Linked DNA regions of Caenorhabditis elegans. The protein of the gene in region 2 interacts with the protein of the main gene of each other region in a pairwise test. Each region holds a gene or a part of one and is shown on either strand. Other genes may lie near its edges.

Evidence for each region.
Region 1: the proteins of F53B3.3 (region 2) and larp-5 interact in a two-hybrid assay, tested with the Caenorhabditis elegans proteins (one large-scale study listed by BioGRID).

Annotation. Positions count from the first base shown.
Region 1 is NC_003279.8:3,733,177-3,748,365, forward strand, and holds the start of larp-5 (HTH La-type RNA-binding domain-containing protein), read right to left. Parts: upstream 7,310-15,189; 5' UTR 7,159-7,309; coding exon 7,081-7,158; intron 5,583-7,080; coding exon 5,395-5,582; intron 4,303-5,394; coding exon 4,114-4,302; intron 3,518-4,113; coding exon 3,381-3,517; intron 3,321-3,380; coding exon 3,220-3,320; intron 3,170-3,219; coding exon 3,011-3,169; intron 2,744-3,010; coding exon 1,451-2,743; intron 1,391-1,450; coding exon 1,253-1,390; 3' UTR 1,164-1,252; intron 528-1,163; coding exon of another isoform or gene 422-527; 3' UTR 1-421. Other genes in the region: sld-2 (Ribosome biogenesis protein NOP53), read left to right, coding at 8,292-8,379, 8,427-8,626, 8,673-8,726, 8,776-8,919, 8,969-9,048, 9,169-9,352; math-46 (MATH (meprin-associated Traf homology) domain containing), read left to right, coding at 12,413-12,635, 14,325-14,387, 14,434-14,615, 14,670-14,969.
Region 2 is NC_003284.9:2,861,118-2,878,897, forward strand, and holds F53B3.3 (CLASP_N domain-containing protein), read right to left. Parts: upstream 10,021-17,780; 5' UTR 9,944-10,020; coding exon 9,862-9,943; intron 9,779-9,861; coding exon 9,703-9,778; intron 8,629-9,702; exon of another isoform or gene 8,460-8,628; coding exon 8,234-8,459; intron 8,185-8,233; coding exon 8,083-8,184; intron 8,034-8,082; coding exon 7,881-8,033; intron 7,836-7,880; coding exon 7,719-7,835; intron 7,675-7,718; coding exon 7,477-7,674; intron 6,699-7,476; coding exon 6,536-6,698; intron 6,484-6,535; coding exon 6,372-6,483; intron 6,321-6,371; coding exon 5,876-6,320; intron 5,630-5,875; coding exon 5,400-5,629; intron 5,182-5,399; coding exon 5,114-5,181; intron 5,053-5,113; coding exon 4,955-5,052; 3' UTR 4,797-4,954; downstream 1-4,796. Other genes in the region: comt-1 (Catechol-O-MethylTransferase family), read right to left, coding at 22-325, 650-1,039, 1,089-1,188, 1,240-1,314; F53B3.6 (RNA-binding protein 6), read left to right, coding at 3,333-3,580, 3,637-4,354; F53B3.5 (Conserved plasma membrane protein), read right to left, coding at 12,260-12,439, 13,824-13,940, 15,269-15,366, 15,418-15,519, 16,271-16,414, 16,715-16,859.

The DNA.
Region 1 (15,189 bases), on a different chromosome or scaffold from region 2:
GAAACAAGTGAAAAATGGGGGGACGGAAAAAACAAACAATCTACGAGTAAAGCAGTTTCGGAGGCTGTGAAAATTGGTGATGATTTGATTTTTTTGTGTGTTGCTGGGAAAATGACCGAGAACAGAAAAGTTGAAATACTACACGGATCAAGAGATAGGACAGACAATGAGGTGTTCGATATGGAAAATAACTACAGAAACGGGGATGGATTGGATCACACGTCGATGGGAAGAGAGTTGGTTGGTTTTTGTGTTGATTGATTGATAGTCAAGAAAAGAGAAATGTTAATTATGTTTGGGGCAGTTTTTGAATAGGTTCATAAAACTAGGGGAAAAGAATGTGGAAAAGCAGACTAGAAGGATACACGAAGGCCTATTTAGGTGTGTGTGTGTGGAATGATAAAAAATTTGATTAATTAATTCATTTTTTGTGATTGTTCTGATATTGTTGTGCCTTTTCAGCGTACGACGTCTTTTTCTCCGGAACGAGTTGTTTGATCTTTTTCAGCCGACCAGCAGCTACGGAACTGAAAATTAGAATTTCAAGGAACAATAAGAAATTAGAATTTCAGAGCTTTTGCATTAAAATACTCAAAATAGGCTGAAATTCACAGAATATTGTTGAAATTAAATTATCGAACCGTGAATTTTGCAAAGAAAACGACGTCGCGCAGAAAAAGAGGAGGGGCGTAATTTCGCAACCCCGTGGCACAGTTTTTCCTCTGACTTTTCGCTCGTTTTCAATTGATTTTTTGTTGATTTTACTCAATAAAGTTCAGATTTTTTTGTTTTATTCCCCTTTTTTGAATGAAAATGGTATCCAATTTAATTCTGATAAAATTGTGAAGATATTTCATGTTTTTACAGCTATTTTAGCATGAAATATCCTCACAGTCTTACGAGAATTGGATTAAATAAGATTTTCATTCAAAAAAGAAGATTAAAACAAGTAAAATCGGCACTTTATTGAAAAATATCAACAAAAAAGCAATAGAAAACGAGCGAAAAAAAGGAGAAAAAACCGTGCCGCGAAGTTGCGAAAATACCCTCCGCCTCTTTTTCAGTGTTTTTTTTTGCAAAATTCACGTATCGATCGTTTGATTTCAGCAATATTTTATGAATTTCAGACTATTTTCAATATTTTTTTTCAATTCAATACACACCTTTTTTATGGCACAATACCAATCACAACACAAATCACATGACAACGATAATAACGATTGTCGGATAGAAATGACAACGTCGTCATCATCTACCTGAACGTCGGTTTTTGTGGCGGCTTCACAGGTTCCACCTTCTTTGGAAGTGAAGGGAAAGCAGTTTCTTCAAAGGAAAATGGTGATGGAGCAGCAGGTGCTGGAGAAGAAGCTACAACGACGGGCGGGGAGCGCTGAAAATAATGAATTTAATTTGTGGAATTTTTGAATTAATTTTTCTTTTCAACACTTACCACTTTGATTTTCTCCGCATCCTTCTCCACAGCCGAATGATGATTCGTCTCAATTTTCGGTTTTTGCGGCAAAGGTTCTGGCAATGGAAAATCGTCAGTTAGAGCTGGCTTATTATTTTCCTTCGTTTCCACTGGTTTTGATGGTTCTTGCGGAGCTTTAGATTCAGAAAATGCCGGTCGCAACACGGGTGGAGTGACTGGAGTCGATGGTGTCAATGTATTAGTTGTCGTGTTCGTTGTGAATGATGTTTCCGAACTTTTTCTTCTCCGGTCAAAGTTTGGTGCAGGCCATACTGGAGGCGGTGGAAGATCCGTTGGTGTAGGAACATGATATTTCGGATTGCGAACCGATGTTTGTGGAGGTGTACTTGATCCAGAGTTAGTCGGAGTTTCGACAGCATCCGGAGAAAAGTATTTGGAGCTCGTACTCGATGAGGAAGATGATGATACAGTTGGACGATTATTATAGCCATTGTGCTGTTGTTTACGTTGACGGGTTTGCCCATCATTTCCCGACCACCAAGAATTGGAAGATTGCCCATTCTGATAATGATTATGATGTCCATTTTCTCCGTTTTCACGTTGTTGACCATTTTGATAATGATTCTGTCGATTGTTATGTTGCTGATAACCATAACCATTCGTCGTTGCTCCATTTCGATTGTTTCCACGCCATCGGCCATTACTCCCATTACTTTGCCGTCCGTTATTTTCACTATAATTATTCTGGAATCTTCCACCATTACCACCACCACGAGAACGCCATTCATTTGAATTCGAGAAGCTGCTACGTGACTCATAATATTGATTTCCACCATTCCTGCTTCCATTGCGATTATTATAATTCGATGTTGTGGTGTGAGTGGAGTTTGACGAGGCAGTCGACATTTCATCATAGTTCCGTGGCGTCGTCGAGACACTTGATCCGTAGTAATATGGTTGTGGAGTATTTTGAAGCAGAGGTGGTTGTTGTTGCTGCTGCTGCTGCTGATGTTGCTGATGATGCTGTGGTGGTAGAGGAGGCACAGGAGGCATCGGAGGATTGTATGACAAGCTGTTTCCAGAGAAGCGGAACGTCGGTGTGATGTACTCGAAGTGGCTCGAAATCGGGTCTCCAGGTCGGTAAGTGGCCACAGGTACAAACCCATAATCAGAAAGCGTTTGCCCCAACTCTCGAAGATGTACTGTGCCCTGCTCGCCGTTGCCCAGTGTCGTCATTTGTCCATTCTCTGAATGTGGCGTCTCTTCTGGTGGGGGAGCAAATGTCGAAGGACCGCAAGTTTTTATACGTGCCTTAAAATTTTTTGCTCGTTTTTAGAAATAAAATTCAAAAGTATACATAGCAGCATGAGTGGGGATTTCGCTTTTAAAAAATTAAAAAATCATTTTGGAATTTTAAATTATGATTGGAAAAAAAATTAAAAAATCGTTATTCAAGTTGGATTTTTCTTTCTTTCGCGATTTTTCGGTGTTTTTTCCATGTTGTTTCTGAATTTAAGACAATTTTGGATTTTTTGAAGCAAAATCCCCATTCACGCTACTCGAAGTTATTAAACTTACACAAACTTGCTTCTGTGTTATTTCATTTTTACGGTGTTGCACGGCAACATAGGCAACTTGAGCGTCCAACTCATTCTCGTAGGTCACGTACCAACCATCATTAACTCCATACTGTAGATCAGTGTACGGTGGTCCATCTGCTATTAATTTGACTACTTCCTGAAAAAAAGAACCGTTCATATTTTGAATTCCTCGTACAGCTGACTCACTTCTCGATGCGTTTCCGGGATTTCTCGGATTAGCATTACTTTCCGCTTGGTGATAGCTCTGACCTTCTCAAACTTTTCGTCTAATTCCACATTTGTTGATTCTGCAAAACATAGAAAATGAAATTGAAGCACTTCTTGCTGGATCATATAATCTCACATACCTTTCAGCGCTTCCACAATCAAATCGACATCCGTAGTCAGCCGCATTATTTTCGGGAAGCCAGCAAGGACATTGATCGGCACATAGTTGTCCGAATCCATTTGGCATTTCAAATATCGGTCCGAGCTCAGATTCTCTCTGAAACGAAACAAAAAAAAATCAGTTGTTTAATCTCCATTTCTCATGTTTTATATAATTTATTTTCTGCCTTCAAAAACCACTAAAACATGTGTTTTTCTCCGGATTGACAGCCGGCATGTTCACTTGTCCTTTGGTCTAAGATCAACTGAGCGGTTTTTGTTGTAAAATAATATAATTTTTAAAACAACAAAAAAAGAATTTTTATGGTGGGCAACATTTTGAGAGAACCAAGGGCAAAAAATCTGAAATTTCGCCAACTTTTCCTTGTCACAGCGACTGCTGGAACATAGTTTTTATTAAATTATCACCTTTTACACGTTTTTATAGTTTTTCTTGCGGTTATTCGTTGATTTTAAGCACATTTTAAGTCGAATGTGAGTAAAAAGGATGATAATTCAATGAAAATTATATTGCACCTGCTGCGACAAAGGAAATTTGGTGATAATTCAGATTTTCGTGAGTTTTGGTTTTTTTTCTTCGAAATTTTGATATGCCATAAAAACTCGATCAATTGAGCTTATTTTCAGCCTGTTTCACTATGAAACTAGTGAAATTTCGAATATTTATTAAATAAAATCGGCACCGGCACTAACCTGGAAAAGTAGTACTCCAGTTGATTCTTCAACAGCTGCTTAATCTCTTCACGACTCAACGGTGGTGGTGGTGGAACTGCTGGCACAAACTGATTCGTTGATGATGATGAGGGCATCGACATCCCCGAAGAAGGTCCCGGCGGCTGGGGGCCGATCATCATGAGTGATGATTTACACTCACGATTGAACCTGGAAATAGAAGAAATTATAGACGTGGTGGAAAAGAAGAGAAGACAACGAATACAACGAAACGGCGAAATCAGAAGAGTGAATCGATTTTAAAAGCTTCTTGTATATCTTTTTGAATCCTAATTAGTGCATTCGGATGGGATGAAGAGAAGAAGCTAAGAAAAGTGAGAGAAATAAAGAACTGACATGCTGTTTTTGATTATGTTTCTCTCCATCTCTCTCTACTTTTCTTATTCTTCTTCTTTTTCGTCTCGGGATTGAAAATACGAGGCGTACGAATGAACGGATGAATGGTGTCATTTGTTTGGGTTTCAGATGTACAGAAACAGGAGTGATGCGTGGGATGTTTCGGAATGGATAAGAGAAGACGATGTCCCGCGGAGTCAGAGCGGTGTCACGCAGTCTTCGGAATGCTTTTCATACTGAGACAATTCGAGATTCTGGGAATTTGCTTTCCTTATTTAAAAAATACGTTTTTTTTGAAAGGCGAAAACTAGTTTAATCAGCAGAATTTTTTTGAATTTTTGTTGTAAAAACTAGGCTTTATCGACATAATTCTCCATTTTCCCATCGGGGATCGCATCAAAAAAACGAAACAAACCGCTGGAATGAGGAAGTAACACAAATTATAGCGATCATGTTGTACGACGACGGCTGTGTGATCTGGTCACTTTGGAAAGATGAGTGTAAGGCGGATGAACGGGCGCGGCGACGAACAAGCGGGGGGGGGGGAAGTAAGCGCGAGTGAGGGGCGATGAAAACCACTTTTGGACAGAGGACAGGGGGACGAACTGTGAATGATGGTGTGCCGAGAAAGGAGATGCGTTCGCGATCGCACAGAGAGCGAGAGCCAGCAATGGAGATGATTCATCAGTCGATACGGACGTTATGAGAGTGTACACAGATCCGAGAGAGTCCAGAGAGAAGGGTGGCAGCTACGCACGCATCATCAGGAACAAGCAGCAGAACAGTTTTTTTTTTGTTGGGACGAACATGAAATAAGATCATGATGCAACAGAAAAGAAATGATAGTCGACAAAAGCGATTTTTAAAAAAGCAGCAGCAGCAGCAACAGTAGCGACGTTCGCTTACCAATAAGGAAGTGGAGGTGGTTGGGGAATACCGCTGGCACCCGACGCTGATGTCGACGGTGACGTGCCTGGTGAGTGGGCGTTAGATGTTCCCACAGAGGAGCCTGGTGAAGATGTCTTCTCCACTGCCACCTTTCCATCGAACTTTCCCACCATTCTTTCAATTTGTGACTTGTCGATTTGGATTGCCTATAATCATAATCCGTATCTTTACTTTGAATGCATTAATTTTTTTGGCATCGTTTTCCCCCATAATTTTGAAAATTAGCTTGTCCTACGCCCACTATGCGAACAATTAGTAATATTTACTCAAAAGTTTTTGCAAAAATTAGAATAATATTTTCCGGACTTGATCAAGCACTAATAATATCGTTAAATCATTAAAAACCCTGCAACTCAAAGGCTGTTGCTAATGATAAGAGTGTGCAATTGATTTTCTGGGAGGGACGCGAAAAATGTGGCTTATCAGAGGTGAGAAAATGGCAAAATTCGTGTGTGCAAAAAATCACGGAAATGACGAATTTCGGGGTGGCGGAAGAGACTGTTTCGTGGAAGAAAATAATGATTTCTCAATAGGGGACGGGAAAAGCTTTAAACAAACTTTGACCTAGAACTTTTTTTTTAATTTTTAAAATTTAAACTTGGAGTAAAGTCAATTTCTAGAAATTCCCGAAAACTAAAAATTCGACGCTGTACAATTCAAAATAAGAGAAAAATTCATAAATTTTTTGTGGGTGCTGTCAATGCGATACTGCCGTTGGAGACACAAAGGAGAAAACATAGTAGGCTGCGGGGTAGCTAGCCTGAGACACGCATAAATTGAGATGTGATGACAGAAGAGGTTAAAGGTGTGCGCGTACATACACATACATTTTTTTATGTCTTTGACCCAAGAAGGACCAGTTCTGGAAACACAATCGATCAGAAGCGACAAATATGCCGTTGTGTGAACCTTCGTGACGTCACGGGAAGAATTGTTTTGGAGTAATCACATTTTTTCCTCTATTATACATTTGTCTAAATTACGTCAGAGTCAGAAAGGAAAAAAAAGTTGGTGCCTATTAATTAAACATCATAAAGATTTGATAATAAATATATACGTCTATTTTCAGAATTCAGTGGCAGAATTCAATGGCAGAATGGGGCAAGAAGTAGACAACACACGGGAAAACTCTACGAGAAATATATCCAGGCAGGTGCAATTCAGCTGCCAGAATACTTAAAAAGTACTTTGGAAACTGTTATTCAAACGGGGGCTTTGCGTCATACGTTTTTAAGCGAAATATACTTTTTGCAGATGCAGAAAATGAACTTTTGAGATGATTCTTCCAAAATATTTCAGAATTATTTTAAAATTGAGAAAAAAAATTATCTTTACTCAAGGAAAGCACGGAGTATTTCTAAAAATTATTTCAAGCAATATTTGAACTCTCCGTGAAATATTATGGAGCGCACGATATACGACTTAAAGAAAAGTGAAACGAGATCCGGTTTTTATGGTATAGGTGCGAAGACTAAGTGAAAGTAGACGTAGAAGTAGCTGACACTTTTCGATAAAAAACCCCTACTAAAATGGGGTTTGTTAACTTTTAAAGTAGCCATTTTATTTTTCTAGTTACATACAAATCTTTAAAGGAGTGTTTCGTTACACAGAGGCACGCCCGAATGCAAATTAGATGACACAAACCTTCTGAACGACAAAGTTTCGCGGTGACACTTCTGTGCAAATGTAGAAGGCGTCCGAGTCGAGCTCGAACGTGTCCATCTCCGAAAAGGGACGTCGACGCCGTGGAGAATGGTGAACGAAGGAGAAGAAGTCAGTATCACGTCATCCGACTTATGGAAGCGAATGGAGAAGTGGGTGGTGGAGAAGAAGGAGCGTAGAGAGGGGCGACGGGCGCAGCAGCAGTGGCCAGACTCTTCTTCTCTGACCGTGTCGTGTCAGCCGGTTTTGTGAGGGCAGAGAGAGAGAGAGACACGTTGAACGACACAAAGAGACGGAGACAACGCAAAAAAAAAGTGAGAAGGGGAATGTGTGCACAATATGGTACGCAGACGACGATGTGAAAAATGGAGGGACGAATGGCAGGCAACAAGAACTGGGAAGAGGAAGAAGACGCGCTTCTCGATTGTTTTTTCTAGAGCGAAAAGCCTGGAATATACTGAAGGCAGCGGACGGGGCTCTCCTGCCATCATTAGGGACCCGCAAGAGAAATGAAATAGAAAAGCAAGGGAGATGGAGAAGAAGTATGGAAACAGAGACATATCCCTTTTCAGCAATTCTTCGATTAGTTCGACAATTTCATGGAGCCAAGGTTTTGGAGTGGAGAGAAAGTTGAATTCAATGAAAATGTCATTCGGCTAAATATTTGATAGAGGAAGATGATGTTAATGTTAAATAACAAATTATTTAGTACAATTCAAGGAATACAGCTTCAAATTAGTCAAATGTTTACAAACTTTACAATAAGGAGTTGAATTTAATTAAAAACCAAGTAGAATTATTTAAAATTTTATTCCTAATATGGAATAAGCACGCGTTTCCTAATTGACAGTTCATATTCTCTATTCATATTATCCTATTCAGAAAATTTCATCAAAATATCAGTTTAAAAGCAAGAAAATACAGAAAAAAGGCTACAAATCTGGAAATTTTCAGATAAAACGTGGAAAAAATATATAAAACAGAGCTGCGATTCAAAGCAAGCGCTGGAAAAGTGTGCGGTGGAGCGCACTTGCCACACATTTTTGGCGCGAGTTTTGAAAACAGCTCCTGGTTTTTTGGTTTTTGCTCTCATTTTCTCTATTTATTTTCTTATTTTCTTTGTTTTCACATGTTTTCTGCCGAATCTTTTCGATTTCAAATTAAATTTTTAAATTATTTTCAGCCCGAACGTAATGGAAGAGTGGAAAACGTCTTTCCGAGAGATTTATGGAAGATCACCAACGGCAGGAGATATTTCTGTAGCTCCGAATCATATTAAAGGTAATTAATGGAAAAAAAAACGTATTTACATTAAATTATTATTTCAGCTATACTTCAATCTGAAAAGAAGGAGAATGACGAGAAAATCGAAGAGAAGCAAGCGAAACGTGGAGTGAAGCGGAAGAATTTCGAAATGAAAATGATGGAAGGCGAGCAATTCAGCCCTATCAAAAAACGAGTTAATCTTAATCAGCTCGGCTCGGAAAATGATAAAAATCCAATTCCACTGAGATCTTCACCCAGAAAGGTTGATATCGCATTAAAAACTGCTGAAATTTAAAATAAAATTGCAGAAAATGATTGCGATCGAAGTTTTGCCGGAAAAGAGCATGGTGTCGCCTAAAAAGGTTTGAAACTTTAATAATCTTTATAATAATAAAATAAACTAAATTTCAGAAGCCAGTGGGATCAGTTCCGTTCGAATTCGACGACTTTTCCCCTGTGAAGTCATACTCCGCGAGCACATCAAAATCTGCCGTTAAATCTACGCTAACACCGATCAAATCTCCAACAAAACGCGCTTACCAGAGACCATTGAGGGTTTGTTTTATTTAAATACTAATTTAAAATTTCCATTTTCCTATTTCAGGATCTCAAAATGCTTCTCTTACCAACGCCGGAAAAGGGTCAAGAAGTTGAAGGTCCGGTTGAAGAATTCGATGATGAGACGTGAGTTTTAGATTTTCATTGAAATTTCGAGCTTTAATTTTCGGAAATTTGCAGATTCCAGGCTATTTTAAGCATTTTTTTGACACATTTCATGCAAATCAATCTATAATTTTTTTTCAGAAACGAAGATGTTGCCAAAGCACGTTCCTACAATCCAGCAGCCAGAAAACTCGGCGGTTCATCAAAAAGCGATCAAAACTTCCAGAAAATCAATCTGAGAAAGAAGCAATTCGTTCGCGGAAAAGTTACCGCAGAGCAGAAGCGAAAGTTGAAGAGAAAACAAATGTTCAAGAAGAAGTACTGAATATTCTAATTTGTCTAGAATTTCATTTTTACATTATTATTATTCGGATTTTTATGTATTTTATTTTATCATTCACTTATCGGGTTTTTCAAAAACCGCAATAAAAGTTTTAAAGTTTTTTTTTTTTAATTGCGTTCTGGGGCAGGAGAACTAAAGCTTCAACTTTTTTCGAATCGGAATTTTAGGGAATAAAAATAGAGTGCATTTTTTTTTGGTTAAATTCATATTACAGAGATGAAATATTGATATTTTGCACGAAAATACTGTACTCGGTCTCGAAGCGACCGATTTTTAATTATTGCAAATAAGTGTGCGCCTTTAAAGAGTACTGTAGTTTCCAATTCCTAATTTTCGCCAAATTTTCATCGATTTTTCATAGTTTTTCTCCAGGTTCTTCAAATTTTTATGTATATGTTTTATGCATTTTCACATTTTTTCGATAAATTTTCAAGAAACGGGGGACAAATTGAGATAGTCAATTAAAATATGGCAGCAACAAAAAATTTCCAACAACAGTACCCTTTAAAACCCGGTCGCTTCGAGACCCGTCTTTTTACATTAAAATCGCAAATTTTCGCAATATAATAAGCAGATTTGCAAATATTTCAGGGTTTTTTAGATTGAAAATAGTTTTGAAAGAGGAAAAATCTCTATTCAGACTTCCAACTTGAATTTTTTTTCTAATTTTTCAATTCGATGCCAAATCCCTTCAACAATGTATATATACAGCAATGTAACCGATAATGTGATATTATCGGTTAACGATTCCAGTTGATGTTGAGGATGCCGATTTGATAGCCAACCGATCGGAGGATGTTTTATGGCTAATTACAGAGAAACCCGCTTTTTTTCTGATCACATTTTACTTTTAGTTTCGAAATGTTCTCCAAAGCATTTGAGAACTTTTCCTAAAGTTCCATCCTTTCCACAACTTTCAAAAAAAAAATCGAGTTTCTGAGAGTTCTAATTTTCCAAAAAATAATTTTCGAAAGCTGGAAACGTCAAAATAGGTTCTCAGTCTATTTGGTCGTGCTCTCATGGTAGGCAGGTCGACCTTGATGCCTACCTACCTTATAGTTGCAGATCTGATATGTGCACAAATGATTTAGGCACAAGACAAGCACAGTAGGCGAAACTCAAAAGCAGACAGTTATCCATGTTTGTCCTTACCTGGAAGTTAGCGCATCCAATTTTTTTTAGAAATGTGTATTTAAAATTGTAGATTACTGAGGCGATACTGTAGTCTTTGTCAATTTCATGCCTGTGTGTCTAAGCTGCCTACGAAGGTATGTAGGTACAAGTGTAGGCAAGAGGCAGGCATGTAGGCATTCTAAGCTTTAGTAAGTTCTTTTACGTTAACTCGAAATAATTGAATTTTCCCTGTTTAGTTTTTATTTGTTGGAATTCTTTATTTAAATAGCCAGAGCACCACGGGATAACATATTTTTGTAAATTAACTGTTAATAATAAAAATGTCTCGAAAACAGTTGAGAATACAGCCATAGGCACTACACCTACCTCATTCCTGCCTGCCTATAAAATCTTACCGTAGCAGCCTTCGTTTTTCGACTACAATTCTTTTTTTTTGAAATTTTCTGAAAATGGTTCAGTTTAGACGGGGACACTGACCCATTTAGTCGATCAGTACCAAGATGGAAGAGCTTTCCGCGCTTGACGGCCACGTTCTCCTTTTATATGAAATATAGGTCCCCCGCTCTCCTCATTCACCAAATCCAAATTTAAAGCAGTTTTCCAGTCCATTGAACACAAAGTAGTGGTGTTTCAAGTTACAAACACAAAAACACTTTTTTTCAATTCTCAAACACCCTCAATGATGACGAATTCCGGTTTGCAACGCGAGACGGTGGCAAAAGTTGTATGGTTCTGATGCGATTAACGCGAATCATTTGGGTCGGCGCCAGAATTCTCTGAATTTGTATAAAAGTTTCGTGTGCTGAAACTGATTGGAACTATAATTTAGAGCTAGAAATGTGTGTTTTTTTATGATTTATGTATATGTAGTCGTATAGAAAGTACGAGAAATATGTATTATTGTTTAAAAACTTGGATCATGAAGTTTTACGAGTTCTCAAAAATTTGCTTGAAATTCTGGGGAAACCATGAAAATAAGGTAGTGCTCAAGCTATTGCTGCCATTGGAAAAGTTTTCCGAGTTTAGAAAATTCTAGGCTATAGTTTTTTGTAACTTTGGGTTACTGTAGTAATTTCTAACAAAATACAGTACAATTTATCAATACAAATAAAAGTTTTAATTGTTACTTTAATTTTCACAATTAATAGCCCATTTCCCATTCTATATGTATAGGACGATAAAAAACTAACGAATGCCCCCAAACAAATAGACACCAACATTAAATATTCTCACTTGCAAATGTCAATTTCTGCATCCTCACAGCAAAAGTGCTCTATTTGTCTTGGCACCGTGCCAACTATATTTGAACATTTAACGACGCTGGACGGGAGAACAAAGGGGCTTTTAATTAAAAATTCTGAATTTTTTGCCCCACATTGATCTACTTTGGCAGTTTGTATCTCGGCTCTATTGTGCTTTATCAAAAAATGTTCAACTGACACAATACTTGTAAAATATTTATCTACATTCTTTAGTTTATCATTTTTTGACAAAACCAAAAAGAACCGAGAAACGAGCTGTCAAAGTAAATCAGTGGGCGTGCAAATTACTGGTAATATACATAATGAAAGCCAATTTGGAACACCTCGTGATTCAAAAATTTAAAATTCATAAAAGTTAAAATTTCTGGAAATTAAAAATTAAAAATATCTCCATGATTTTGCTGTGTTTTGTTCTGAAGCTTCGCCAATTTTATAGAAATATTCATATCGTTTGAAAATAATTCAAATTCTCGTGACCTTCCCAGAATTAAACAAAAAACTAAAATTACACTTACGTTTTTTTTTATTTACATCATAAAAATTTCGATTTCAATTTTATTGCTTGATTTTTGGGCAAGCTCATCTCTTCTTGGATAGTGGTTTTCTGTGAGGAAAAATCGTCAAAGTTTACCAATTCTCCGAAAAAATGCTCAAAATTTTGTTGAATCTCTTGATGTTGTTTGGCTCGCCGATACTATTGCTGCTCGTTCAATGTGGTGGAAAGAAGAAAGCAAAATCGGGAAAATTGACAAGTGAAGGTGTTGAGGAAGGGGATTCTGAAGATTCCACAAAGGATAAGAAGAAAAAGGGAAAGAAGGGAAAAGGTGAAGGCCTTCATTCCGAGATGACAAACTTTTTGGGTGGCAAAGGTTCTTTGGGGGCATAGTATCCAAGGAGACAAAGGATCCAGTAGACAAACTGGGGTGTATCTTGGGGGGCATATCTTTGGTGACAACCTTTTTTTCCACTAGATTTTTATATGTATTTTTCAACTAATTTTTGTTCACATTTTTCTGGAATAAGTTTTTTAATGCAATTTTCAATCGATTATCGGTTATAATTCCCTCACAATTGAATGTATGAACGATGGTCTTTTGGGAAAAGCTGTAAAACGTCCAACTAACTTGGAATATCGTGAGGCTCTTCCTGATGGTCTGATCCTTCAGCTCCGAAGGATCACATGGGTACCTTCTGATGTTCTGATCCTTCAGATAAGAAGGATCGTAAGGGTACCTCCTGATGGTCTGATACTTCAGCTCCAAAGGATCACGAGGCTCTTCCTGATGTTCTGATCCTTCAGCTCCGAAGGATCACATGGGCATCTTCTGATGATCTGATCCTTCAGATAAGAAGGATCGTAAGGGTACCACCTGATGGTCTGATACTTCAGCTCCAAAGGATCACGAGGCTCTTCCTGATGTTCTGATCCTTCAGCTCCGAAGGATCACATGGGCACCTTCTGATGTTCTGATCCTTCAGATAAGAAGGATCGTAAGGGTACCTCCTGATGTTCTGATCCTTCAGCTCCGAAGGATCACATGGGCACCTTCTGATGATCTGATCCTTCAGATAAGAAGGATCGCTAACTTTTAAATTTGAGTAGTCAATCGATTTTTAGTTTGAACTGTAATATATGTTTGCATACTGATAAGAAATTGCACATGTGTTCTTTCTTCCTTTGAGATCGGCTCTCTTTTTTATTAGAATACATTTTTTTTCGATTTTTCAGAAAATGACAGGAAAAACATTTTTGTTAACTCATACATTCAAGGATATATCGAAACTCGGAGAAGGAGGCACTTACTACAGTGATAATGAAATACGACATAATATTCCATGGTGAGTCATATTATTATTATGAAATAGACTTTGTCGCATCCAAAATACTTTGAAAGTTAGCTCGATTTTTCTAGGAAACTTCAAATATTCCGATAATGGCAGTTACCATCAGGAGGTACCCTTACGATCCTTCTTATCTGAAGGATCAGAACATCAGAAGGTGCCCATGTGATCCTTCGGAGCTGAAGGATCAGAACATCAGGAAGAGCCTCGTGATCCTTTGGAGCTGAAGTATCAGACCATCAGGTGGTACCCTTACGATCCTTCTTATCTGAAGGATCAGATCATCAGAAGATGCCCATGTGATCCTTCGGAGCTGAAGGATCAGAACATCAGGAAGAGCCTCGTGATCCTTTGGAGCTGAAGTATCAGACCATCAGGAGGTACCCTTACGATCCTTCTTATCTGAAGGATCAGAACATCAGAAGGTACCCATGTGATCCTTCGGAGCTGAAGGATCAGACCATCAGGAAGAGCCTCACGATATTCCAAGTTAGTTGGACGTTTTACAGCTTTTCCCAAAAGACCATCGTTCATACATTCAATTGTGAGGGAATTATAACCGATAATCGATTGAAAATTGCATTAAAAAACTTATTCCAGAAAAATGTGAACAAAAATTAGTTGAAAAATACATATAAAAATCTAGTGGAAAAAAAGAAAATACAATAAATACAAATGAACTTGCGAAAATACAAATGAACTTGCGGCGACTCAAGATCCAAATTATCAAACTTTGGCGGGTTTGAATAATGACGCAGTGTTTGGACCAGGAGGCGGAGGTAAGATATATCAAGATTGAATAATTTCTGAAATAATTATGTTTAGAGGGTGGACCACCGAGAGCTCCAGCTCCAGGCTCAAAACCAGGAATGGCCGGAACTCAGGATCCCAACTATCAGACACTGGCAGGTCTCAATAATGATGCTGTTTTCGGAGGTGGAGCAGGCGGGCCTCCAAAGGCTCCAGCGGTCGGAGGAAAAGCTGCAACCAATGATCCAAATTATCAGGTTAGTTTTGGATTGCAGGCACTGAAAAAAGTTTGAAAAACATATATAATTCAGACTCTCGCTGGACTCAACAACGACGAAATTTTCAAGCCGGGCGGCGCTGGAGCGCCAGCTGGTCCAAAAGCCCCACTTGCTCCAGGTGCAAAAGCTGGAACAAACGACCCGAACTACCAAACTCTTGCTGGACTCAACAATGATGACATTTTCAAGAAAGGTGGAGGTGGTGGCGGTGGTGGTGGACCTCCACGTGCTTCTGCTCAAGTCGGTGCAAAAGCTGCGACTCACGACCCCAATTATCAAACGTTGGCCGGGTTGAATCAGGATATTTTCGGAGCTGATAAGAAGAAGTTTTAATGGGATCTGGACTAATTTGTAGAAAGATTAGCGATATCTTTTGAATACGATCTATGAATAAATTTGTGTGAATAGTCGCCGAGGCTCTTCCTTTTTAAACGGAAGAGCCAGACATGAATTATGTTAATTAAAGTTAGGAATTTTTAAGCAATTGGCAAAAATTGTTAGAAGACAATTTTTTATAAGAACAAAAGACTTATGGACTGTCAAGGAAGTTCGA
Region 2 (17,780 bases):
ATCGTGAATAATGTACCCCACCTTATTACAGCCTGCGAGGTACTTGTCATTGGGCGGGTTGTGGTAGGCCAGATTTGATATTGAGGCTTTGTGAAAATTTTTTGTGCTTCTGTAGCTGGCAAGATAGTCTTCACTTGAGTTGTTGGTGGAGATGTTGTAGTTGGTTTCGTTGTCGTTGAAGGTTGAGCTGTCGTAGATTTTTCAGTTGTTGAGGTTGGAAAAGTTGAAGTTGTAGTTGTTGGAGTTGTAGAGGTGGTCATGGGAATGTTTGGTGAAAATGTAGCATATCTGACTCTTTCAGTCGTTGTTGTAAATCTTATGATGTCTGAAAGTTTTGAAATATTGGAGGGAGGAAAGTTTAGGAAAAATCCAATAACTTTATTTTGTTGTGCACACCTGATATTTCAATCTGAAATAAAATTCTGTCCGAAATTTCTGAAGTTTTTGCATATGAAAATTTAGTACTAAATCCTGTTGATCGTTAAAATTCAAAACGTAAAAACTGTTAAGAATTAATAGAGAGCCCCATAGATAGAACCCCAAAAAGTGTGTCGCTGCGTGCAAACTCAACAGGATTTAATACTAAATTTTTAGACTTATTCTAGAATAGTTTTGGAACTCATTCCCCCACACTCTAACAGTTTCTCACCGTCTTCTGTGGTAGTGTCTTCAGTGGTAGTTGTAGGTTTTGTTGTCTTCACGAATTTGATAATCTGCGGTTCGGTAGTGGTTGTATATCTAAATCGTGGTCTGGGATCATAGGTTGATGTAACTTCAGGGACTGGTGTGCTTGTAGTAAAATGTGGCGTAGTGTAAGGAAATGTGAAAACAGTGGGCATTGGTCTTGGAGTTGGCTTGCTTGTTGTCTCGGGCTTATCAACTGGTATTATTTTCGGGCGAAATCTTTTCGGCGTTTTTGGTAGTGGAGTTGATGTTGTTAGATTGAAAAGCTCTCTTAAATTCGTGGCTATTGTCAACTTATCCTCATTCCCAATTGCCGATGAAAGGTATTGACCGATGTTATTGAACAAGTCTTTTCCTGAACCTGAGAGATTAAAAAAACGTCAAAAAAAGTCAGTTAGAAGTACCAAATTCCAAAAATGAATACTGGGAGTCTGGCTCGTTGAAATCCAATTTTTCATGAAACGCAGTTTGTTTCAAGGTTTCAAACATTGATCCCAGATTAGCCTTAATTTCATTTATACAGTTTTGCAAAAATGGAAGAAAACATTGACTTACAAATGGTAGCCATATAAACCCGTCAGCAAATCCCACTGACGTTAGAATTAAAGCAAATGGAATAACAAGTCGCATTGTTATTAGCATCGACTGTTGAGTATGAGCCCTAATCTAGCAAACTGTCTAGGATGAGAAAAGAGCTTGTCAAAAAATGCTTCCCTTTTCTCGTTCGCGTCGTCTCATCGTGTCTTCCTCCGTTTTGACAGCTCTCGCCGTGACATGCGATGAAAAACGAAAAAGTGTTCGGTACGAGTGACCCGTGTCCACATGCGCTATCGAAAAGCAAACGGTTTCGGATCGAGTCGGATCTTTAAACTACGATTGGGGACTGCTGTGAGGACATGAAGTTTTGGGGGATCATGTTACAGCATCCTGTACTTTTTACTGTGTACATAACTGTTATTTTCGTAAAGATTTTTAATATAGACAATATTTTTGAACCGGTCAAGCGGTTCTCAGCGGAAAAAATCATTCATTGGAGAAACCTGTTCGGATGGGATGTTGATAAGAATTGGTTCCGTTCTAAATGAAAATTATCACAGCTTCTTATCAACATTTCCGCTTCATCAATTTTTTACAAACCAAAAGAACAAATATGTGCAATCATAAACAAATGAAAAACAATTGAATGTTTCTTTTTAATTACCATGATAATTTTTATTTGGAATTTTTTAAAATACTAGTCGAAAAGTGGGTTGCACCACTTTTTCACTTAAAACAAAAAAAAGCTTCCAAAATTTTATGAAAAATTTAAGAATTATTTATATTCAGTTGTTTTAGCATAATATGAGTAGTTTCCAATAATTTCCCCACAGGACGTAGACCGCCTTAAAATCAATTGCCAGGTGCCTAAAAAGTGCGTTTTTCTTAAAGATGGAGTAGTGTTAGTAGGGATTGGATTTAAGTACACCTACTATGGCGCTACTCCATTTTTGAGGAATTCAAAATAATTAAAACATTACAATAAAACGCTCCAAAAAATTTTAGATTATTTTAAATTTCCAGCCCAAGTTTTGGAAAAAAACTAAAATTTTGGAATGACATGAGCTTTTACGGATATTCAGAACAATGTCGCATTTTTGGATCCCTAGAATGTTTTACAGAAAGAACTAAAACAAAATTAAAATATATGAATTAAAAAAAAAAATTTTTTTTGGTCGACTTCCAAAGTTATGAGTGGCAAAACTGAGTAAATGATTTTTGAAAAAATTTCTATTTTTTTAAAAACAAAATTTTACTATGTTACTAGTGTTATATGATATCTGGACATTTTTGCACTATGGGAGTAGTTTTTAACAATTTTCCTTCTGATTCGACTCCACGTTTAAACTTTAATAATAAATTTGGCACTTATGGGTTTTGTTCCCCCAAAAATGTTTTAATATTCCCAATTTCAAATTAAACACAAAAGCGTGAACTTTTTGGAACGATTTGTAGAAATTAATGCTTTGTTCTTTACTTTTGCTCACGTTTTTATTTTAAAGGTGGAAAATTATATTTTAGAAAACCAAAACATTTTGGAGGGAACGAAACTCATGAGTATCATAAATTTAAATAAACTGAATCCATAAATCGCTCTACACTTGCTTCTCAATTGACAGATCTCTGATTACTTCCTTTTAATAGCCAGTCATCAATAACAACTTGTCACTGATAGGTGTTAACCAACATTCTATCTCTTCACATTCTCCCCGCTGATTACAATTTCATGAGGACTGGCTAATATTCAATGAAGGACAGAAATTAGATGAAACACAAGGCGGCGTCGTGTGTCGAGAAACAAATTTTTAGCGTGGCTATCGTCGATGGTTCTCGAAGAGAAACAAGGAAAGCGCCACGCCCGTTTTCTCCGCCGTTTCCTACTCGCCCAACCGACGCCGTCGCCTTTTTGTGAATCAGCCCAAACTCCCCCACCCCATTTTTTTTCTCGGTGTAGACGCTTTGCGTTTCTGGGCGGCACGCATACACGTATTCCGCATCGCCTTTTCTACTAACCGAACGACCGACTTATTTTGTGGGAAAAACGCAATATATCCATCACTACTTGCTGTCTACAAAAACACGTCGGTTCATCGTCAACACTACTCCCGGCGATGAATTACGATCGTCGTTTCTCGCCGGGGGCTAACCCGGATTATTCGAATCGAACCATGAACTACCGTGACTCGAGATCACAACAAATCACTCCACGTGGTGGCATTGATTCACGTGTTCATGCATATGGCAGAGAATACCCACCACTAAGATCCAGATCTCAAACAAATGTTGACCAAGACTACGGAGATCGCTTTTCCCAACCTGCACCATATTTTGATAATCGAGGGCTTGATCTGAAATCCAGGTAACTTTTTTTTTTCAGAAGATTCACTGAAATTGTAATTGCTCTCTCATATTCAGAAGTAAATCATTGGACACCAGAGAGTTTCGAGGACATGATGATGGGTTTCATCGAAATGAATATCCTAATGATGGTGGAGTTGTCATCCCTATTCGCCGTGACATTGGTCGTGATCCGCAGTATGACTTCCGTTCGTCCCCTCAAACACGTCACAGAGATGCCGAGCCTTATGGATTTGATGATCGTCGTCCACAAGCAGGCCAAGATGTACACATTCCTTATAATCGAGATATTCAGGAACCAGTAAGGGAGCCTCTCGGAAGAGACCGTGACTTTGTTCCTAGAAGATCATTTGATGGAAGAATGGGTGACAGTCCAAAATCGTATTCTTCCCGATTTAAGGAGCAAGCTACGAGAGATCGCAGAGCCCTGGAATATGGTCGAGGAGGATTCGGAGATGATTTCGAAAGAGAAGAGTATGGAGCAGTGCAGCCATATCGTGGACCACCTGGAGGCGTGGTAAGTAGTGGAGGTGGCGGCTACCGATCAAGCAGCCATCACCGATCTCATCACGAGTCACACGGTGGAGGACACGAGTCGTCATTTGGAGCTTCACGTGGTGCAATCACTCAACAGCCACAGGTATATCATCAGGATATGAGACCGGTTCGACCGGTGCAACACCATCGAGTGCAATGTTGTTGCTTCAAATTTGTTTGGCCACCATGGAGCTACGAACAAGCACCACCACCACAGCCAATTTACAGAAACATCTGAAAATCTTGCTCAACCTTGACAATGTTTGATATTCTTCATTTTAATCTGTATCTAGGCTCAATTCTTTGATTTTTGCAACTCTATTTACACCCGTGTTCCTCAATTTCTCCATTCAAATTCTCAAGTTCACTGTCGCTGCCAATTCTTTTTTTTTCTTATTTTTTTTCCGAAATCCCACAAATAGTCAAATAATAAAAAGCATCCTAAATGATATTTCCCCAATTAATCAAGTTGGGGTCATGATACTGTTTGATAACAAGGCAAATTGTTGGCGGCGCGAAAGAAAACGAGCGAGAGAGAGAGAGAGAGAGCGTTTCCTAATTCCAATGGCCTTGTTTTGGGTTGCACGCAATCGATTCAGGGTTATCCCATTGATGTCTTTCAAATCAATTTGTTGGAGGTTTACCGTGCAAATAAAATTAGGAAAAATAAAAAGACAAAGAAAAAGGGTTCATATATATGTTAACAAGATTTTTATTTTAAATATACAAAAAAAAGGTATTTAATTTGAACAAGTCTTAAGCCTATATTTGAGCAAATTTAAAATTTAAAATTATTTTCGGGATACACTGTGGTTAAATTTATGACAAATCGGTTTCATTACAAATGATAAGTGGCTTCGCGATTTTTTGGGTTTTGGTCGGCTTCATAGTCATACAAGTAATCGAACTGGCTCAGAGCATTACGAACATCTTCTCCTGAAACTTGGTAGGTTTATATGATAATGATTAAAAAATCTCTATGAAGTATTAATTTTACCGTTAATGCTTGGGCTCCGAAGTTTTGCACGACTATTGCTGCGAGATTCATTTGGAGTATAGTCGAACCTAAATGTGAAAATTACACATTCAAGGCAGTTCTGGGAACTTAAAATTCTATACCCCACGTGTGCTCAAAAGAACAAATTTCGTAATGGGAATCTCAAAAATTTTTCAAGAATTTTTATGGTGTTTCAAAATTTCGAAAAAAGCCTAATTTAACTAAAATCTTAAATTTCGGTCACTTTTTGGTGGTTCAAAATTACAATAATTTTTATATTCCTTACTTTGACGTTTTGCTCACTCTCCGTGGCCCGGCTCCGACTCCACTTTCAATATTAATCGGAACATACACCACTTGTCCATTCTCATTACTGTATGCAACTGGCATATCGAAATCATGAGTTCCGGACATTGAGTTCTGAATTTCCAGAGGAGAGAGGGGCCGGCTGGAGCCTTCGTGATTTCCTGCTGTGGCGTACAGGGGCGCTGATACAGGACGATTTGATGTGGAGCTCTGAAAATTTTCAAACTTAAATATACCGGACCAAAACGACCGAATTTCATAATGAGACTACTCAAAAAATTTCCAAAAAAAAATTTCGAAAACATACACCCCAATTTTCCTAAAATCTGAAATTTCGCTAATTTTTCTTTGTCACCGTAGCTGGAATACACTTTTTTTGCCCTTTATGGCGTATTTTAGTAGTTCACCTATAAAGAAAAGTTGGGAACATTTGCAATTTTGAATAATAAAACGTACAGTCACTTCTCTTGGTTCCGGCGACATCATTTTTTTGTTGTACACTGAACTGACAACTGGCTGTTGTGGGAACAAATATGAAAATCCTGCGTGAGGATGCTGAGCCTCAACAATCGGAGGATCCGCAAATCGTGCTCTTGGAGAAAGTGCACTAGATAGTCGTCTAGACGGTATGTCAGCATCTTGCTTTATAATTGGTGAAACTGGAACTGGGGACACTGCTCTGTACGGTGTTCGAGACGCTGATGATGGTGGTCGTGCAGAAACTGGTCGAAGTAGTGTTCCTGGATCATCGTCGCGGATGGCCAAGTCATGAACGCTTCGAGACAAGGTTTTCACTTGTTGGATTGGGTGATAATGGACTTGCTCTTTTTGACTGTTATTGCCAAATCGTTTCAAGCCGCGTGGCGCCATTTCAGGAGAATCATTTTCATACTCTTCCCTGCTGGAAACAAAATTTGTATACCTCGGCTGTTATCAATACTACTTTACGTACTTTTCTCTGAAAACCATTGCACTTTCACTTTTTGCTCGCCTCATCGCACCGAACGGCTCTCTTCTCTCGGTGGCGTAACCCATTCTGGATGGTGGTATTGGAGAAGATGGTTCTGAAATTAAAATTTAGAAATCAATTCGAATTTTCAATGTTTAATCACTTACCAGCATAAGAACCATGCGATAATGTTTGTGATCTTCGGTCATAAGTCAAGCGTGGGCCGCCACCTCCTTCAAAGTAATAATTGCCGGCAGCTCTTCCACCGGAGCCAGCACCCTGCTTTCGGAATCTTTGACGTTCAACGTTTTTAACGACGGATGTCACTGGCTGAAATAAAATAAAATAAGTTACCTTCTTCCGGCACTTTTGCCCACAAAATAAGAATTCACATTCAGGGTTCATCACTATTAATAGGTCAAAAGGTGGAATAGCGCCAGTGGAAATTTTGTCGAAATACACTTATAGTGATCCAGAACTATCGAATATCATGATAAAACAATCCAAAAATTTTTAGAGTTTTTTTAACTGCCAAATTTTCTGTTTTAACGCAGTTTAATAAAAATGAAGAGCAAAAACCGTAGATTTTTTTGGTCGACTTCCAAAATTATGACTGAAAGAATACTGAGTAGTTATCACTATTTGACAGTAAATAAAAAATCTCAAAATTTTTTTGAGAAGTTTTCATTATGCCTTTTCTTTGCTGGAACTTTTGTAAAAAAAAATCTGAATTTGTATAACACAAGTTGGACTTTTAAAACATATATTTTGAACATATCAGCTGCTTGAATTTATTTTTGAGCAGTACCCGAGGTTCTAAGAAAATTGAAAATTTCATCAAGATTAACGGGGTACAACAGCGTTTTATCTTGGGGATTCAAAAGAAAAAGGGTATGTAGTTTAAATTATTCTATTAGGCTTTTTCGTATAACCAAACGTACCGCGGCGAAAGCTAAAAATTTCCTTTCATTATTTTACCTATTTTGATAGATACAACATGACTTTTTGTCAACGCAAGCAGACAAATTTAAAATCTTTTTGTACATCTTGAACAATACAAAACTCATATCGCAATTTATTATGCTATGAAACCTAACAGAAAATTTACCATGATCTTGGAGCTTGGAGCATGCCTCCGACTTCTTTCCGATATGCTGCTTCCGTCCACTTCAGAAGTTCCATAAATGTGGTTATGCTCAACGGTGGGTCCCGACCCTCCAACATATTGGTTCAGTGATTTCCACGCGTTCAACTCATCGATCAAAGTGTCCATTCCGCCGTAGGATGAATTCGGGTATCCAATGAGCTGGAACAATTTGGCGTTCAGAATACGAACAATAGGTAACCTACTTTTTCGACAACTTCTGGATTGTACTGGGCTAATGACACTTCCGATTTAACAAGTGCTCTGTGCACTGGAGTTGGTGCGCTTGCAATCAACTTGTTGAAAAGTCTAGCCACAAGGATCTGAAAATGGCGAAAATCTACGAAATGCGCCGTATTATTTTAGACCTGAATGTGAAGTTTCTTTGTATGAAGACCATGTTTGAGTTGTGCTACAAATATGGAAAACCTCAAATAGTCCCGATTTCTTGCTGCCAAAACAGTCAGCGCCCTCAATAAAATCACAAATCCTTGCGGTTGTTCTAGTAGCAGAAGAAGAATCTGCAGAGAACGATATTCTAATTTGTCAAACACAACGATAAACGGCAACCTCGAGTGAGTAACATTTGGAGTCCAGCTGAGGCGAATGAATAGAATACATTATGGCATCCAATCCGGTTGATGTTTCGAGAAATGACTTCCATGTTGATTCCTATGCAAGGTGATAGTTAATGGCATGAATCTTACAAATTTTCACTCACTGATTTCTCAAGTAACAGTTTGATGCTTTCAATGCAATCGGCCTCAGCAACAGCTGCCTTTCTTTTTCGATTGGCATTTGTCGAATTTCTATTGAGCAGGTAGGAAATTTTCGATCCAGATCCTTCAACACTGTTCACAATTCCCTGCAGAACAATCACCACTTTTCCGAGTAGTTCAATCCCGTTGATAGGCTTTGATACAAACTCATGCGAAAAATGTTGAGCCCTGGAAACAATTGAAATTCATGTCGGAAGCATACGTCAGACAGGAGCAAATATTGTGGTTCGGAGGAGTTAGCTATCAGTGCGTGGGGGGGGGTGGGAGGTTTTAGAACCGGTCACTGTTGTATTTACTTCTCAGTCGGAGTTAAATAATGGCCACGGGAGTGCACAAAGTTGAGCGCGGGAGGTACCGCCAAATGGATAATACGATACGAAAAAATGGCCAAAAAAATTTAAATAAATTTTCCTTGAGGGAATGCATTTTTTAAAAATACTAATAGAGCAACGGAAAACCTTTCTCTTTTAAGAAGTAATTGTAATACTAGCTAGTTTTTGAAACAATGCATTTTTTCGGCTAATGAATGTAAAAGAAACCTTATAAATTAATTAAAATTATGTGAACAAACAATTGAAAAACTGTTTCTGTTTCTAAAAATAATTTTTGCATTGAAAAATGTTATATCACACTTTGTCTTAAACATATCTATTAGTGATAAACTACAAACTATGTTTAAAAAAAACCGGTACTTGTGTTTTACATGCCCTCATTTTAAAATTCTACTTAATGTTCATTCCTTTCTCCATTGAAATTTAACGTGATATTCATTTTTTTGGGCTTAAAAATGGTTATTACCTAAGCTCAAAAGTTCAAAAATATGCTACAGTGCATTGGTTTTTCCACGCATTTATGCGGAATGGTCTTGCTGCGCGCGTAATCATCATTTTTAACAGTTTCTGTTCAAAATTTGCGTAGATCACGCGTGAAAGCACAATTAATTTGAAAGCAACAGAAATACAAAATATGAGATAAATATTTTGTGATATACATGTGATCTACGCGAATTTTACCCAGAAACTGCTAAAAATGATGACTAAACGCGCGGCAAGACCATTCCGCATAAATCCGTCTTCCTTTAAAGTCGTAGAAGTGAAAAATCAAATGCACTGTACACGCTTAAATTTTTTATAACTATGTAATACACATGTACCAAAAATTCTAACAAATATTTTGTTAGTTGACATTGTTGCATTGTAAATAAGTTGTTAGTAAGTTGCTAGTTGATTTTAATGATACAATCGACAACTTAGGTATAAGCTGTCAAAATTGAACATTGCGCTCCAATATACTAATAGAAAACACTGTCATTTTTGTAAATTTTAATCAAACTTTTTTTCAAATTTGTGAAGAAAGTTCGCTTGGAAAATGTTGGAACATCAACGCCAACAAAAAATTCAAAACTACTTACTTTATTGAGTCCGCTAAAATTTGGTCTTTTAAAGATAACAAAACAAATCCAGCATCTGATAAAGATATACCGCTCCCTGAAAAAAGTGCCTATTTGGTGGTGGTTTTTAAAAGTGTTCAGTTTGAATACACTCCCGTCTTGTCATGGATATATGTTTACCTGAAGGAGTCGAATCCGGATTCTGAATAAACCTCCGTAGTTGGTCGGCAAGTACACGTGGCGAGTTGACATTTCGATCCATTATTCTCACTCGGTTCTTTTTGCCATTAACATGAGGGGAGCCAAATGTGTCGAGTCTAGTTGGGTGAGGCAGGGAAAAGGCTAAGTGGTGGTTAGGAATCAGGCTAGGTTTGTAGTGAATGCTGCTGCGAGACGCGATGTGTGTGTGTGTGTGTGTGCCAGTTGAAAGCAAACAGTACCTCCGATGAAGGCTTGAAGACTCGGGGGGGGCCTGCTGATGCTTCTGCAACCGTCCCCAATACCGGTGAGCGGAAAGAAGTCGAGAGTTTGCCAAGAAACACTGCGACACATTGTGAACGCAAACGAGAGGGTAAACATAATGGGAAGCGGAGGTTAAGCAACTTACTGACAGATTGGTAGGTACTCACAACCGGTAATGAGTTGCTTTCAGTTTCTGCTCACCAATCAAAATTCTTATGCGAAAATTTTTTGTTTTTTGATCCGGCAATTAACAATGTTTTTAGCAGATGATTTTTTTTAAATAAATTAAAACGTAATAGTTTTAGTATTCTCAAAAACAAATGGTACAAACCAATAGGTACCAAAATTTAATTTAATTCATTTTTCTACCACTGATTGCACTCATCTTCCATCTGTTAATGTTTTTGTGCTACCTTCTGATTTCTGTAAAACCTATAGTATAATTTGAGCATAATTTCAAACTCCGAAACTCATAACATCCAATGGTATTCAATTTTTTCGGCAAATGAATGTAATAAAAACTTTGTGCACTATTTCATTCGTGAGCTAAGAAAATTGTTTGATCATTGGTAGGTAAATGGAGAAAACACCCTCTTGATTTTTGAAATATTCAGCGTCTGTAATTTTACAATTTCATAAGAGAAAAAAGAATTTATTGACTATAAAAAACTGGCAAAAAAGACCGAGTTTTTGCCACTTTTTGAGAAAACTTTAGTTATGTCGCATGTTTTAATCCTTGCAATATTTAAATATTAATTCAAAAATAATCACAGCATAAAAATCAAATAAACAATTTTTATTTGATCGACAACTTCCAAAAAGGTGGCAAAAACAGACATTTTTCCAATTTAAAATCATATAAAAATTAGATTCAAAAAATTACCATGATACTTGTTCATTTTGGCTTCATATGTATTTTGAAACAATTTCCCCACTGGTGCTACACCACCTTCAGCAATATTTGTCATAGTTTTGGTAAATTGTCAATTTCACAAAACAATTAAATATTACTTTCAAACAAATTTTAAAATATGTCGCATTTTTCAACCCATAAGTATTTGTTTCCGTCCACCAATAAAATTGTGAGAGACGAAGCAAAAATTGAAAACTTCTTGGGTCAGGAAATTTGAGAACAAATTGATCGAATAATTTTAGCGTACATTTATTAAAGTTGAAGTAGCGCAGGTAGGGGTTTTGTCTAAATACACTTATAAAAATCGAATATCATAATAAAATGTTCCAAAAAAATTTACATTTATGGAAGTTTTCAGTCAAAATTTTGATAAAATGCTAAATTTAAAAAAATTGCTTTGAAGGAAATTCAGAGCAATGCCGCATGTTCCGACCACAAAATGTTTTAACAAGAGTAATACAAACAAAATTAAAGTATAAAAATCGTTGAATAAAATCTTTTTTTTGCTTTTTTAATGATATATTGGACGTTCGCATGTTGTCATAAATAATAAATTATTGAATCATTTTCTTACAATCAAACTGATTTATTTAGATACTTTGGTATGAACTGAAAAAAAGTGTTTCACATATTTAAAAGTATGAAAAAGTGAAATGATTAAATGGGAACTGAGGTGTGGCATATTCGAGTATCGATTATCTTTTAAATTCATTGTGCTTGCTGAACGAACTGAACAAAAAAAGGGGGCAGATGGCATTTTGAATAAGACAAGTGGGAAAAGGAGCACCAAGGGTCTTCCATCCAAACTCGATAATTTCAAACAAGGAGTGGCAGTACAAAAATGAGAAGACGGACATAAAACGGATTGGGGATTGCCAACAAAATCAGAACAAGAAAACACTAAACTCAGAATGACAAAGTTGAGAAAAAAACATTATTAAGTAGTTTAGGTACATTATGGGGAAACTGTGACAAATGCGATACACACATACACAAAACGGCAACAATTTTTGGTTGGCAAGTGGAAGAGGAAGAGGATTACTGGAAGTCTAGACTTTCCAAGAAAAGGCTAGAATAAAACTTCTGACATTCAAAAAAAACATAGAATTTGGTGAGAATATTCGTGATGGACCTCGTCGTTTCTTGATTGAGTACTATAAAAATTTAGAATAAAGGGCTTCTTTGCAATATGAAGAACACTCTTTAACGTCCATAAGTCATGTATCCATAGCCAGCAGTGTTGTATTGATTGTAATATGGGTAGCCACCATATCCAGCGTACGTGTTGTAGTTGTATGGCACAATAGTTCCAGCCCCCTTGTCATAGTAGTTTGGCATCATGTAGGCACCGTGTTTAGCTGTCAGCGCGTCCTCCTCTTCTCTCTATCAAATAATAAATTCATTAGGTTAGCTGATGTTAATCGTCTAAATAGTCAAACAATGTTCTCAATCTTCAAAGACCTATTCCGATGGGAGATGACCCAATTTTCAACAAATTAAGCAATATCTAGTGCCTGGTGGGAAGCGTTTACTATTTTATTTTGTCCATTCTAATTGATGATAGATCAATAGATAGAATAACAACAAAAACAAAAAGTGTTTTTTTTGGTAAGTGATATAAAGTTTTTAAAATAGAATGTATTGATTGGAAATGTTTTCAAATGAATTGCATAATGAAACATCTCAAAATGGCGGGTTAAAAATTTGAAAAAAATTTTCTTAAAATCTCAAATTTTGGCCATTTTTTCCGTGTTGCAGAGGTCCGAAGTTGACCTTTTGTTTTAAATTATCATCCTTTATCGCATAGTTTGGTAGTTTATCACACGTTATTTCGTTGATTGAGAGACATTTAAAGTCAATAGGTGACTAAAAATGAATTTTTATGATAAGTCAACTTCCGACCAATGCGACACGGAAAAGCGGCCAAAACTGGAGTTTTTAGCAAAAATTTTTAACCGAAATAGAAAAAATGTTGAAATACTTTTGAGAAGTTTCATTTCAAAAATTCGTTCCTTTCAGCACATTTTGAGTGTCACCGATGTGTCAAAGTTTTTTGAGAAATTTATGAAGAAATATTTTTATTTTTGAAATGAACTTTACTGTTTATTACAAGTTTCAAAAATTTGCTCAAAAACCGCTATAAAAGTCAAAATGTGTGTGACACTGCACATTTTGGGTTCAAAATAGCCCGAATCGTTGCTCCATCATTTGAGTTCAAAATTAAAATACAAATTTCTTCACACATTCGCGATAGAAAAAGTGACTGCAATACTGATTTTGATAGATTTTTCATATTTTGGGATCACTAGTTTTTTTTTCTAAATTTATATAATTCGAGTTTTATGGAAGTTGTGGACTGGTATTTTTTTTTCTAACTATCATCAAAAACTAGTCTTCCAATTTTTGTTGTGTCTCTCAGCTAGAAAATGAGCGGTGTCAAAGTAAGTTCAAAGTACACCATACTTATAAAGAAATTTCTGTGAATGTAGTTTCCGAACACGGATTGTCAGAAAATCTCATTTCATAGTCATGCATGATTGCCAAAACGGTTGCCAGCATGTCTGTTTTCGGGGAAAGTCGTAATAATTCTTCTCAAACAGTTATAAGCGGATGGTCTCTTCCTCCCCCTTCCGCGCAATCCAAGGACAACACCCTGATATTGTGTGGTACACCATCCGAAAATTCCATAGAAACCGAAAGATATTTATCCGAACGAGATAAGACTAGACGAGGGGGGGGGGGAGGGGTGACATCTGCCACTACTAACCTTTACAGCAGCGTAGGCGAAGAACATGAAAGCACTTCCGATGACAATAAATCCGATTCCGATCCAAGAGACAATGTAAGACCATCCGTAGTTATGACGGGACGTCAATTTGAGAATCTGAAAATGAAATCAATTTGTTTTGGTTTTTTTCCTACATAGACAATATTATAATTTCTGATACCAAACGTTTGGCGTTGTCTATTTGATAGCTCCAAGTTGTTAAACCGGTTCTGAGTATTTTGAACGAATATACTCAAATTAGAGGTGTGCGGCAAATTTGTCGAATTTGCCGAACTTGCCGTTTGCCGTCCTTGGCAAATTTGCCAAATTTGCCGCACACTCCTGACCCAAATGCGCAAAAATGAACGGATATCGTAATGAACCGTGTCAAAAATTGTAAGAACTTTAAAAAAAAATCATGGTTAAAAATTTCGAGTTTTGGCAACTTTTCTGTGTTGCAGTGGTATAAAGTTGATTGTTTTCGAATCATCATATTTTATTGCACATTTTAGTAGTCGGATTTTTTAAAATTAAAGTACATTTAGAGCCGATAGGCGGCTTTAAATGCATTTCAATCAACGACATAATGTAAGATCTACTAAATTATGCAACAAAAAAAAATGATAAAGCAATAAAAATTATTTTCCAACAACTGTGGCACGGAGAAGCTGGTAAAATTTAAGATTTTCGACAAAATGGCCTAATTTTTTTCAAAATTTTTAACCGCCATAAAAAGTTTTTTAAGCGTTTTTATTTTTTAGGGTCTAAAAGTTGAAAATCTTTCGAACCGTTAGTCCTGCTTATTATTTTATCACTTCGATTTTTACAGTTGCAAAAAAACAATTTTTAAAATTTTATAAACTGAAAAATAACTCTGCAATAATTTTTCTATCTTACTGATTTTCAGGCTGCAAATATCTCAGATCTTTACCAATTTTAATTTTTTAATTGAAATGTTTTTAAACGTTTAACAATTGGCAAATTTTGCAAATCGTTTTTTTCCAAATTTTTTTCCAATAAGTACCTAATTTTACTTTAAACATTTGAACTTATGTATGGCTAATTTGTTGTTTTTTTACCAACCCCTAACAAAATTGAAACAAAATTTAAAGTAGCCGGACAATTGTTTCCACAGGACTTTCACTCTTCTTCCAACACTTGATAGAAGTGTCGACATGATGACACAGGGAGAGAGTCGATTCTGCTTTGCAAATATCGGCAAACTCAAGTGACTACGCTTATCTTGGATGGCATGCCTACGTAATTTTCACCGATTTTGTTTTTTTTGTTGTTGAAATAGTGAAATAGTGAAATGAAAATTATTTCAAGTGTTGTGGGGTAAAAAGTGATACTAAAGAAAGTAGAAAGTGTGACTTGAATAAAAATATGTATTTAAAAGTATATAAGAGGTTTTTTTTGATAAACTAAATTATTATATTACTCACCGGCTCCCAAGATTTGTAGTATGGCTCTACATCTAATGTGTATCTCTCACTGTAAGCAACGTAGTGCCAGAGAAGCATAGCCACAGACATTGAAAGTCCTGAAAATTGAACATATCCAGTTTTTTGTTTCAAATCAGTAATTGTTTTACCAGCAAGGATCAGAAGAATTCCGGTGCTCATAATGAATTTTTTCGATCTATTCCAGCATCCGATGAGTCCGACAATAAAGCTCAACACGACGAAAACAATACCTGAACAAATCAAAATGGGCATTAATGTCAATATTTGGCTTACTCGCATCGTGACACCTTATAGTACTCTATTGTACAGGTATTTGTATGGATTGCGTCTAATCTATTGCTAATAAAAGTTAATATACATACAATAGTCCGTTGGAAAGTGCTTAGAAATATTGTACAAATTTTTTCTTGCTAGCAATTTTTTAAACTTAATTTTAGTTGAACAAGTAAGTAAGTCTTGAGAAATGGCTCGATCAAAAAATATATGCTCAAATGAACTAATTTTGTAATGTAACTTTTCAAAGTTTTTTTCAAAATTTTTAATGGTGGTTTCAATTGAAATTTTGAAAATGTTACGCTAATTTTCGCTAAAATCTCGAACTGTGCTCACTTTTTTGTGTCATAGCTGTGGAAATTTACTTTTATCATTTTTAAAAAAATCAAATATTTCGGTAATTTATCTCAATTATTAAGTTGATTAAGGTATATTTATAGCCCATAGGGGTAACAATAGGTAACAATGTTCATTAATTTTTGGTTACCTATCGGCTTTGAAATGCTTTAATTAACAAAATGGCGTGAGATAAAACATCAAAATCAGCAATAAAGGATGAAAAAAAGTCAATCTCAAACCGCTGCGAAAGAGATCAAAATTGAAGATTTTAGCGAAAATTAGGCTAATTTTTTGAACTTTTGACTCACCATAATTTAAAACTGTAAAATTTCAAATCAGGTCTATACGTTCCTTTATATAACAACTCACCAACAACATAAGCAATGATAGTTGCTTTTGCAGCATAATGACGGTAAAGTTCATTGTTTGAGAAGTGCTCCTTTTTAGACTCTGGAACCATGAACTCGTTGCTCCAGATGCACGGAGAGCCCATTTTGCTGAAGCTTCCAACATCTGAAAACTGCCCATTTTTCTGATTTTCCGCTAAAGAAAATCTATTGTTTCAACAATTACTTTTATTGGTGTTAACCTTGGGGGGTTTTATTTTATTGTTAGTCACTTGTAAAAAGTAACCACGTAACAAGTAACTGGTAACAAAATCGAGTCACACACATACACACACACACAAAGACACTTCATTCTCCTGTTTTCGTTCAACATGACTGGTAAGGTCGTCAAAAACGATTAGCACTTTTTTTTTTGGGATTAGACATTTGTAGTATAATACAAATAAGTTCAGAATGCGTAACCAACCTTGTGGAACTGTATCAGGGAAGCAAAGATTGAAGAGACCATAGTTGCGAGAGAAGTAGATGTTGTTGTGACCAAAAGCATTTTGAAGGCGTAAACTCAATTCGGGCTCTCGTTTGAATGAGTTTATGATTTCTCTTCGATTCACCTGCAACGAAATTACATTTTAAAACGGACAATCTTCTATCATGTCTCTGAACATAAATCATTCTCTTTGGACTATTCTAATACGGAATTTGATGAACATCCTCGCACACAAAAAAGTAGAAGAAAAACCATCTTCCTGTTGTATATCCTGCATTCATTTATTGTTACTTGCCCTATTCTCCGGACTGTGCGTTTCTGACCTTGTCCCTCGTCAAAATGCCTTTGCCCTTGCGCATGTCTCACGATGGGACCTTAATGAAGGTAGGAAAAGAACGTGAGCAACAGGACCAGGGCGGCTTACTGCCCGGCCAATCCAATTGCCTCTCTGCTACAAGGGGCCGGTTTCCTTTTGAAGCTCCTTTCGAGCATCGCGCGCCGGTGTTGTGATGTCAACAAATAAAAGTATTCGAGGATGGGGAGGGGGATAGATAGTGAAGCGGCAGATGCGAACAGGACAAAATCGGGAAGTGGAGAGGAGCAAAATTGGAAAGAGCTTAGCTCACTTTTTTTTTTGTTTTCATGTCTGAAGTGTGAACCGTGGTTTTGTCATGTTTCGGCGGATTCAAGATGCACAAATTTGAAAGGGAAAGTGTCTGTTTGTCAAATACAAAAAAAAACGAAGAATCGAAAACAGACAAGTCGAAACATGTTGAATTCCAATTTACCGGGACAAAAAATGTCGAATTGATTAGATGTTGTAGGATGGAACAGGAAATTGAGAAGGGGGAAAAAAATGGACATCTGTCAACTTTTCGTGTTTCAGAAAACGGCTAAATTAGAAAGTGGGAATGTTGGAAATGATTTCTTAGAAAAAATTTTTTAAAACATTACTGTGAAATTCTATAGATTTTTAAATGCACTGATGCCTGGAAAAATGTGAGCTTTCTTCATTTAGAAGCACTAAATATGGATTCTGTGTGTT